Linked DNA regions of Daphnia pulex. The protein of the gene in region 1 purifies or fractionates together with the protein of each later gene. This does not show direct contact. Links are inferred from orthologs where the notes say so. Each region holds a gene or a part of one and is shown in the gene's direction. Other genes may lie near its edges.

The links.
Region 2: the proteins of sodium-coupled neutral amino acid transporter 9-like (region 1) and ragulator complex protein LAMTOR3-like purify together in Homo sapiens (affinity purification with mass spectrometry; 3 studies listed by BioGRID and IntAct, with this or other methods). This does not show direct contact. The link is inferred for Daphnia pulex from reciprocal best matches to the Homo sapiens genes SLC38A9 and LAMTOR3.
Region 3: the proteins of sodium-coupled neutral amino acid transporter 9-like (region 1) and ragulator complex protein LAMTOR5 homolog purify together in Homo sapiens (co-immunoprecipitation; 5 studies listed by BioGRID and IntAct, with this or other methods). This does not show direct contact. The link is inferred for Daphnia pulex from reciprocal best matches to the Homo sapiens genes SLC38A9 and LAMTOR5.

What each region holds. Positions count from the first base shown.
Region 1 is NC_060019.1:7,950,020-7,954,233, reverse strand, and holds sodium-coupled neutral amino acid transporter 9-like, read left to right. Parts: upstream 1-1,319; 5' UTR 1,320-1,461; coding exon 1,462-1,544; intron 1,545-1,618; coding exon 1,619-1,838; intron 1,839-1,950; coding exon 1,951-2,045; intron 2,046-2,131; coding exon 2,132-2,289; intron 2,290-2,350; coding exon 2,351-2,518; intron 2,519-2,602; coding exon 2,603-2,671; intron 2,672-2,737; coding exon 2,738-3,141; intron 3,142-3,208; coding exon 3,209-3,313; intron 3,314-3,383; coding exon 3,384-3,622; intron 3,623-3,697; coding exon 3,698-3,875; 3' UTR 3,876-3,934; downstream 3,935-4,214. Other genes in the region: dynein axonemal intermediate chain 3-like, read right to left, coding at 3,953-4,147, 4,203-4,214.
Region 2 is NC_060018.1:11,756,059-11,759,085, reverse strand, and holds ragulator complex protein LAMTOR3-like, read left to right. Parts: upstream 1-1,366; 5' UTR 1,367-1,464; coding exon 1,465-1,470; intron 1,471-1,559; coding exon 1,560-1,594; intron 1,595-1,691; coding exon 1,692-1,750; intron 1,751-1,814; coding exon 1,815-1,878; intron 1,879-1,965; coding exon 1,966-2,038; intron 2,039-2,107; coding exon 2,108-2,242; 3' UTR 2,243-2,527; downstream 2,528-3,027. Other genes in the region: glutathione hydrolase 7-like, read right to left, coding at 1-399, 480-631, 718-882. UniProt on the Homo sapiens protein: As part of the Ragulator complex it is involved in amino acid sensing and activation of mTORC1, a signaling complex promoting cell growth in response to growth factors, energy levels, and amino acids.
Region 3 is NC_060023.1:5,836,376-5,839,138, forward strand, and holds ragulator complex protein LAMTOR5 homolog, read left to right. Parts: upstream 1-1,467; 5' UTR 1,468-1,648; coding exon 1,649-1,683; intron 1,684-1,747; coding exon 1,748-1,809; intron 1,810-1,880; coding exon 1,881-1,995; intron 1,996-2,072; coding exon 2,073-2,133; 3' UTR 2,134-2,145; downstream 2,146-2,763. Other genes in the region: trichoplein keratin filament-binding protein-like, read left to right, coding at 1-128, 201-306, 379-672. UniProt on the Homo sapiens protein: As part of the Ragulator complex it is involved in amino acid sensing and activation of mTORC1, a signaling complex promoting cell growth in response to growth factors, energy levels, and amino acids.

The sequences.
Region 1 (4,214 bases):
GTCATCGACGAATTCGGTACGCACAAAGCGGTCTACAAGAAAAAGTCCTGCATAACCGTAAATTGCATTTTTATATTTAAATAGTCAAAATTATTAAAATTTATGTAGTATTAGTTGAACTTAATTTAAAATAAGAAAATTATTATTTTGCTAACTGACAGATTTAACTGAGACAATGGTGTCTTCACTATGCATTTTCATTCTTTTGATTACTCTGTGGATGGTGTCGTATCCGGTTGAGGCCATTGATTGTTGCGAACCGCAATCCAGCGGCAACTGTTGGGATGAAACTCCGGGGGATCCTTGTTGTGGCTCCAGTGATTGTGACCAATTTTGCTGCAATTGCCGTGGAGGTTGTCGTGATTGGACGGTCCGAAAATCTAACGGAGAGCAGGAAACAACCCTTACGCAAAATATCTTTTTTAGATAATAGATAATGATAAGATTAAAAGTATCGATTTGGCCAACATTATTACCACATTTTAAAAAAATGTATCCCCATTCTTGTTTGTTCAGTAGACGCTTTTACTTGAATCATTGCTTGTTAACTTATTTAATACTAAATATATGATTCACCACGATTAACTGCATGTGACCGTATTTGTATTAAAAAGATGATAATGAGGCCTATGGGGCTCTTCGGGATCTGTTTTATTTAGCCGATTTATCTGGCAACGCAGCATGGCGCCAGTCTTTTTTGAGGGAAGAACGGGGAGAAGAGGGAGAATGGGAGGACGCCCTCCTCCCTCCCACTCGTCCCATTCTCCCTCTTCTCCCCGTTCTTCCCTCAAAAAAGACTGGCGCCATGCTGCGTTGCCAGATAAATCGGCTAAATAAAACAGATCCCGAAGAGCCCCATATACTGTTAATGGCGCACTTTCCATTATCATATCAACATCTGTTCTAAGACGGATCATTTGTTTTCTGACTAAAGCAAGTTAATCACGGCACGTGACGCAAGAAATCGAGAGTCTGGCATTATATTGAAAGCTGATGAAATGCATGTTGTATGCAACAAATTCCAATAACATATAAGAAAACGAGATGAAATTTTAATCCGCCCCATAGTTCTGTCACTTTGCGCTCGGTCATTGACCTACTAACTACTAGTACGTCTTTTTTTAAAAACCTTTTTTAAAAATACACCCAAAAAACAACACAGAAATTTTGTTGACAACTTTTTTGGAGGTCAAATTAAAATATAAAATACGATAAAATTATGTCTAGGTTTAACAAAGAAAAGATTTTGAGAATTGTTTTGTATTGTTGCATTCCAACGGACTAGCCGGTGCGATAAGGCTTCAGAAGGCTTCACATGTTTTGTAGACATCCGTCTGCTTGCTTGTCAAAGTTCTATGGGTCTCACGAAAACAAGTTCCTTCAAACTAGTCTTTGTTTACTTACCCGACCCATCGGTTGGCAACGAAGTTATCAGAATTAGTTCTATAATTAATTTAAACAATGAACAGAGATGTGGACGTCATATTACCAGATTCAGACGTAGCTAGTGAGGTGACACTAGATTCATCATCAGATCTTGGCAGGTAATAAAATGAATTTCTCGTTGCATATAATCAAATGTCGGCTAATTGGCAATTGCTTGTGTTTTAACCACCAGATCTTCGCCAACGTTAAGAGGAATACGAGTTCGGGATGCCAATTCAAAACAACGAACGAGACGTCCATTCCACTTACAGAGTACCATTGCAGCAAATCGTGCTGAATCCCCTGTCTTGATTGATGCTGTACCATACGATAATGCTCAGGAAGCTACTTACTCACGCTATAAATACTACCAGAGATTAAGAGGACCCACCATTGGAAATGATCAAGCATTGGTACAAACATTAGGTCTTTTTACATGAGACAAATAAGAGTTGCTGTCTCATGGTAGTATCTAGTTGGTTTTAGGATAATTCCTTTGATGGTTGTCAAAATTATTTTGTTTAGTTGATACCTGATCATGTTGTGCCATCCATCTTTTTCTACCCATACATTCCTGGCACAGTTCCTTTAACTGGCAAACAAAGCAGTTTAATAACTATGTAACTAAATCATTTTCCAACTTTTATTTTTTTATACAAGATAAAGCTTGTAATCAACATTCAATTCTTTTTTTAAATTTTTGTAGATTTGCAGTTTGGAACACAATGATGGGTACGTCGTTACTCTCAATGCCATGGGCTGTTGAGCAAGCAGGACTGGTAGCTGGATTGTCACTGATCCTTGTCATGGCAGCCATCTGCTTTTACACTGCCTTTTGTATCCTTCAAGTTTACGGCATCTACGGTATATTACTTTCGGTCATGGTATCTTTGAATGACGTAATTCAGTTTGGTTTTTATTGCAGGTGAGAAGGAAAATCTTGCGGACTTTCCAGATCTCTGCATGTTCCTGCTGGGGCGTGTCGGTCAATGGGTTTCCGTTCTCTTTTCGGCACTTTCATTACTTGGGGCAAGTGCGGTGTACTGGGTTCTCATGTCCAACTTCCTCTATCATACGGTCAAATACGTGTATGGTAAAGAACTTCAATTTTATACGATCTAAAATTTTGAACGGTCGAAAAAATCTTCAAAAATATATCATTTGTTTAATCAAACAGATCTGATTACGACGACGACGTCTGTTACCCTGTTGTCCGTGGACGATGACAATACTTCGGCGTTTAATCGTGAGTTTCAATAGGTTATGTTTATTTGTTCTTTTATTTACATTTTTTTTTTTTTACATTTAACAGTGTTTTGTCCGGATCCGATCGATAATCTGACTTTCTCGTCACTCCTGAATGGACCGATATTCCAGAATGGAGCTTCTACCTTTGACAAAATTTGGAATTTGGATCTGACTGTTCCTATTTACATGGCTCTCCTATTGCTGCCCCTAATCTGCCTAAAGTCAGCCACCTTTTTCACCAAGTTTAATGCACTGGGCACAGTCTCGGTATTCTACATCATGGCATTCGTTGTCACCAAAGCGTCCCAATGGGGAGTGCACGTCGAATTTAGCGACACTACTTCACCCTTCTACGTGCCTTTGTTGCGCTCCAACTTTCCGGCTTTGTCGGGCATGTTGTCCTTGGCGCTGTACTTGCACAATTGCGTCGTGAGCATCATGAAGAACAATCGGCGCCAAGAGTGCAACGTAATTTTTACATTTCTCTTTCTCATTTTGGCCTTACATTGAATAAAATTTTTCTTTTGTGTTTTAGGGCCGTGATTTGAGTATCGCCTACACCCTGGTAGCGCTGACTTATTTAGGTATCGGAGCAACTTTCTACCTCACATTTCCCCTCGAGAAGGATTGCATCGAAGACGTAATTGAAAATGATTCGTTCATTAAGATTTCGAGGAATTAATTTAATTTTTTTCTTTTGGGCTTTCTAGAATTTGTTGAACAATTTTTCGCGTTCGGATACGCTAACCGTTATAGCTCGCGTCTTTTTGCTCTTTCAAATGATGACGGTCTTTCCGTTACTCGCTTACATCCTGAGAACGCAGATTCTGTACGCTTTCTTTAATTCCATTTATCCCAGCTTTAACCACGTATTTTCTCTCAACGTGATATTGCTGTCCGTCTGCGTTGTATTCGCCATCTTCTTGCCGCAGGTCGGCACCATAACAAGGTACGCAAGTCGAATGAATTGATAACCGGGTTTCCCATCGCCGTGCTAATTGGTCGTTTATATTTACTCATCCAGATTCTCCGGCGCTTTGTGTGGTTTGGTCTACGTCTTCACACTACCCAGTATATTGTACGTCGTGTCTTACAGGAAGCAGAATAACGGCCGAGCTCCGGCATGGGTGTATATTGTGCACGGTTTTATTATGTTGTGTGGTCTACTAAATTTAATTGCCCAATTTGTCGTCACCAATTGATGGCCGCTACGCTTAGACAGGTCGGTTCCGATTTCAATATATAACGTTCTCGTATCGTTTATTTTTCACGTTCTCTTTCAAACATCACCGACATCTTTGAGAATCTTTTTCTCGAGAATCTTGAAATCTTCCATGTACGCCTCGCGATTGCTGTAGATTAATGGGGATTCAGGCAGGTGGAGCTGTGGGGCAACTGGGGCGGGTTGCAACATTTGGGCCATGGACAAACGGTGATGTACTTCACTATCCATAAATTTCTCAACTCTTGTGAGCTAATTTAAAAAGTAGAACAGTCACAGATTTGTTTTTAAATTAATTAAATTTTACCTCTCTGACTCC
Region 2 (3,027 bases), on another chromosome or scaffold:
TTTTCATTTTGGGCCAGAGAATCCAACAGTTTACCGAAGGCTGGCTGACGAATGACTTGGCCTTCGGCGAGAGGGATGTTGTTGGGAAAGAAGAGCTGGGATCGGCGCAAGGGAGAATCACTCGGAATTCCTTGCACCGCCCCAGCTAGCTGAGATGACACGTTAATCCCGAGATTACTCAACTGGATGGAGGGTTGTAAAAGATCCGCCCACTTCAGTTTGCCAAATTTCTTGTGACTCTCCCACAGGCCACTCAAAAGACCGGGGATTCCCACAGCCAAGGGTCCTTGGCCGTTGACGATCAAAGACGCATTCACTGGTCCGGGGGCTGCGTCTTGAAAGTTGATGACCATTGGTGGCTTTGAAGTCAGGTGGTTGAGTATAATCATAGCTCCACCACTGTCAACATTAATTTTAAAATAGATTTTGAAAGAGGATGCAGGGATGACAAGCATTGCATTTCAAAATATTGATCTCACCCTCCAAGTGAAGTGATGTGAGGATTGACAACACACATGCAGAACATTGCTGCAACTGCTGCATCGATTGCATTACCCCCTTTTTGAAGGGTATCAACACCGATTTGAGAGCATTGCTGGCTGTCTGTTGCAACTGCACCTCGTGGCAGTATCTAAATGTGAAATTTCAATATTAATTTGTTGTGTAGATAGCAGGAATGTATAAATGTTGTCATTGAGTAGAAAAATGGATACACACCTCAGGATCTCCTAGATAGATGCTTATAACTAATGCAATTGTGACACAGATGCATAGAACTCCAAAGCAAAAGATAATCACTCTTAGCCCATCATTTTGTTGGCCAGAACAACAGTTCCCAAATCTTGCTTTTTTGTGGGTTGGAGAGAGTGGAATGGTTTCCATGATATTAAATAGTATTTGATTAATTGCAGTTTGTAGGAATTAAAACATCACAGCGACGAATTCTAAGGCTGTCAGATATCTTGAGTAAACCAATCACGACTATATATAGTTGGAGAAAGTTTTATGACGGGGAAGCGGAAAAATAATAATAATAATAAAAAAAAACGTGTAGGCGGGATCGCCCTGTCAAAACAAGACCCTCCTATGTTTTGTTTTGATTATAAGCTATCAAACAATTCGCTAGATGTCGCGGAAATTTGCAAATTACGCGCGATAAATGAATCACGAAGTGCAGTTCATGAAATATCAATTGTAAACATTCGATTACACGCGATAAAATAATACACTTCATTATAATTAATAATGTATCATTTTAAGTACATCAGATGTTACGTGGCTTAAGAGTAAATGATCACAACAAACTCATCTAGTGGTGACATATGGAAACATTAATTTACTGATTTTCCGACTTTTAGATGGCGCTTTTGTTAATAAATATTTGCTGACACTTGCTGACTTCTTCTGCTAATCTGCTATTGATGTTGTGAACTGTGATTCATAAAAAAGTCACAGACTTGACTAATGGAGGTAATGTTTGTGGGCGTAATTTATTTGTCAGTTAACGATGTTTTTCTTAAATCTTTCTTTAAAAAACTGTTTCTGTTTTCTTTCGGCAGGAATTGCGAAAATATGTTGCGTGCATTTTACAGCGGTAAGTTAAACATGGCTAAACTCTACCATTGATTATATAAGAAAAGTCTTGATAGGTTTATAAACTATGTTTATCTTTTGTACTGCCCTATTTTCAGAGTGGACGGTCTTTTGGCAATTATTATAACTGACCGAGATGGTGTGCCTCTAGTCAAAGGTTTGTAAATATTCAGTATATTGTGATCTCAAATTCATTTCCCGATTTGTTTTTATCTTTACAGTGGCCCTTGATTCTGCACCCGAGATGGCCCTTAGACCAAGTTACCTTTCCACCTTTTCAGCTATGTAAGGGCTTGTTTGTAGAAATCAATTAGCTACGTAATCGTATCCACACAACAAGTCAACATAATTTTTCATTTGTGATTTCCACAGGGCAACAGATCAAGCTGGAAAGCTTGGAGTTGGAAAAAATAACAAAATCATTTCTATCTATTCAAATTATCAGGTATAACAATTTTCAATTACAGACTATTTAAGAAAGTGTTGTGAAACCTTTTTCTCCTGATTGTACTAGGTGATTCAAATGAACAAGAGTCCGCTGACAATAAGTCTGATTGCCAGCAAGACAGCAAACACTGGACAACTGGTCAATTTGGAAAATGACCTTTTAGTTGTTGTTAATGATCTAGCTTCTTCAGTTGTTGAATGAAACAAAAAAAAAATCATTTCAATTCATGTTACAATTTTCATCATATCTTGAAAATCATGGGAAATTGTTTTCATCCGTAAAAAAAACCATGTTTATTCTTCCAATCAATTTTTGTGTTTTTCCAGTTTCGTTCCAACAATATCCATTTAGAGGGCGTATCACTTGACCTTGTGTTAGATCGAATGTCATTATTACATATGCCGTAGTGTGGCGCTTTATTTCGGTCATGCGATCCCACATTGGCCAGACAAATGAACGTCTTGGATTACACTTGAGAAAGCATTATTTCCTGTTCGATGCCCCGCTGTGATGAGGGAACCTTTTCTGTGCATCGGGTCGATATACATTTGGCTCGTCTTATTTTCCAGGTGGTGGCCAACAAATAGTTGTGAAGAAGACGCCACAAGTGTCAGATAGTCGTACGACGAGTGCGTTCCTCTTCTTGACGGCCGCACAAAAGCGACCTGGGGTTTTTATTATTGATCGTTCTTTGTATATAGGGGCCGGGCTGCACGACGTGGAAAAGCTGGCTGCTCTCTCTCTCCATTAGTGGGGGTCCTGCACACGCAGCTCACGGGACGATGGATGCAAAAGGGGGAAAGACGCGAGAGAGTTATGCTGCGCTTGCGCCGGGGCGTTTTCCCAGTTCGCCGCAGTAGGTTATCTACTCCCGGTGGCACCAAGACGTCCGGGTGGCTTGGCTTTAATTTTTTTTTGTTTTAGTCCTTTCGGACAGCTCACCGACCTCTGATGTGTGTTTCCCCCCCATTTGTTTTCCTTTTTTG
Region 3 (2,763 bases), on another chromosome or scaffold:
CCAAATGAAAGTGATTCTGCTTTAGAAAAAGAAAAAACACGTCAAGACATTCAACGATTTTTACAACTCGTTGAAAACCATCGTCGAATCGAAAAAGAACGCCTGCAGCAGAGCGAGTTTTTATTCCAGTAATTGATTATTCTTTTTGGATTATTTTAAGTTCATTTGTAAAATAATATGTCGAATATCTGCCTTCACAGGGAGGAGGCTAAGCGAATGTGGGAAAAACGGGAATTAGAGTGGGAAGCCGAAAGGTTGGCTCGAAAAAAATTAATTGAAGAGGTGATAGCCATTCAGGAGAAGCAGGTAAGTCTTTAACAGTTATTTTGAAAACGGTTAAGATGTAATTTTTCATCATGGTTCTTGTTGCTTATTTAGATTGACCAAAAAATAATCGCTGCACGACAAGAAAGACAGCAACTGCTGCGCGATCGAGAAGAGCTGGTTCATTCACTCGAGAGCTATCATAATCAAGCAAAGAAGAAAGAAATGGAAAATAAAGCTAAACAGTTTCAAACGAAAGTAGATCTTCAGGCTCAAATTGATCACAAACAGCAAAGAGAAGAAGAGTTTAATCATCTGGAACGGCAGAAGCGCAAACACCAAGAGCTCATGGAAGCTGCTCACAACGAAAAACATTGGAATATAGCCATGGACAAATTGAGACTTTAAAGCGTAAAGTTGACGCACATTTCTTGTCATCAAAATGATTCATATCTCGGCTCTAATTTTCTCGTAATTTTTAAATGTTTACAAAATGTGTATTTTTAAGTTACAGCTTATGTCATTCTATCACAGCTATTTTTCGTACTTTTTCGTATTTCAGGAAATATATGGAGCGATCGCAGAATGCCAGTTTATTTCTTATTGTCAGTGTCTAAATCGTGAATTCCTCTGCTCCCGATCAGTGCTATATTTGGATGAAAGTAGCGGATTACAGTAGAGAAAAATTTGTTCATGAAAAATAATTGAAGCTATTATTAGATTTCTACAAAATAACATGGATATACTTCCTGCTTTTGTTCAGTAAACGTGGAACGCGCATTGCAAAGGAGAAACAGTGGAATTTTCCCTTGTGAATCCGTATCGGTATCACAACATCGCGATATGTTTTACCCTGGTTTGTCTCCCAAAGCAAATTAAATCTGAATCCCAATTTTTCTCTGTTTGCTATCAATTATTAACGCGCTGCGCGCTACCCTCAGAAGTCTTACCAAATCATCCATGCCAAATCATTCGAGCTGCTAAATCCTGCCACCTAGCGCTACCATCCAAATTCTGGCCAAAATAAAAAACTAAAAAAAGTAATGTTATAATAAATTAATAAGATACTACTAAATTTCTTTTCACATTATTGTTTTTTTTTCTACGTTTTAAAAAATCCAAATCTAATGTTTTACAATGAAATAACAGAAATTGCAATAAACAGCTGCAGTTGACAGGCCTTGAGGTGAGTCAGTTTGACTACATTGTTTTGACTCTCTGTCTCTGACAGGCTTCCCAAGTTCCACTTCCTTTTCTACTGTGGCAGACTGTAGATGGTTAATAGGTGCTAGCAAAATAAATCAACAAGATTTTGTTAGCCTGTCGGTTTCTGTTTCTGATATCCTTCAGTTAGTTCCTGTTTATACAAAATACCATTGCTATTATGGATAAAGAAGTTCAAAAATGTGTTGAAGAATTGTAAGTAAATCAGAAATCGTTACATTTAAAAAACCGATTGGAACATAAAATTGTGTCGATTTAGGATGACTTCGCCTGGAGTAGTGGGCGTATTGTGTGCAGACAGACAGGGCATGTGCTTAACGTGTAAGACAAAAGCTTCTTTTTTGAAACACAATTGTTTTTTTATAAATATGAACACATTGTTTATAATATAGCACAAGGTGTTGCCAATTCAAACTACTCCGGCTCATTGACTTCTCTGTCACATTTGGCAACAACATTAGAGCCTGGGAAAGGAGATCCTGTCATTTTGTTTGAAAACCATGAAAGGTATGGTAACAATGTCTTTCTATGTTATTTTTATTTTCTAAGTGCTGATTTATTTTTAACTTTTTCTGTTTCTGCAGTCAGTGTTTGATTCATCAGAATATGGGAATGACTCTTGCCGTCTACAAAACCAATACATAAATGCAAAAAATCTGAGAAATCTAAGTTTTTGTGTAGATATACAAATAGGTTCTCATATATTCTTTATTTTTCTTAGCATTCAAACTTTAAGCCACATGATAAAAAAAATAAATAAGAACCTTTGGTATACGCCTTCGGTTCAAAATTTGTGCTTTAGCTGCAGTGGTGTGCTCGATTTCGTTTGTTTCTGTTTATTTTTTAAAAGATGTGGGCCTATTTTGTGTTACAAATAGTAATTTCCTAATGCAATGGGAAGAAAAAGTGAAAATATATCATTGTGTACATATCAGAAATTCTAGAAATTTTCATGAGCGTATACGTCGTAAACAGCAGAAATTTTTAACTGCGCTATACCTAATTACCTGTAGCTTTTTTTTACAGATTGCCTTTTTTTTTTTTTTTTTCAAGGTTTTTTAAAAATAAACGATCCGCGGTTATCCCAGCCTATGGGGGGGATCCTTATCCGTATAGTTCATTTTCAGGAATCTGGAAAGGGAGTTGAGAAATAAAGAATAGATATCCAATGCAGAATCGCAAGACGATTAATTATTGCCTGACCGAACTCCGCCTGTCTGGGAAATAGTCTGGGAAATATTATGAAAATAAAATTTTTAAAAGTTGACTTCTTGG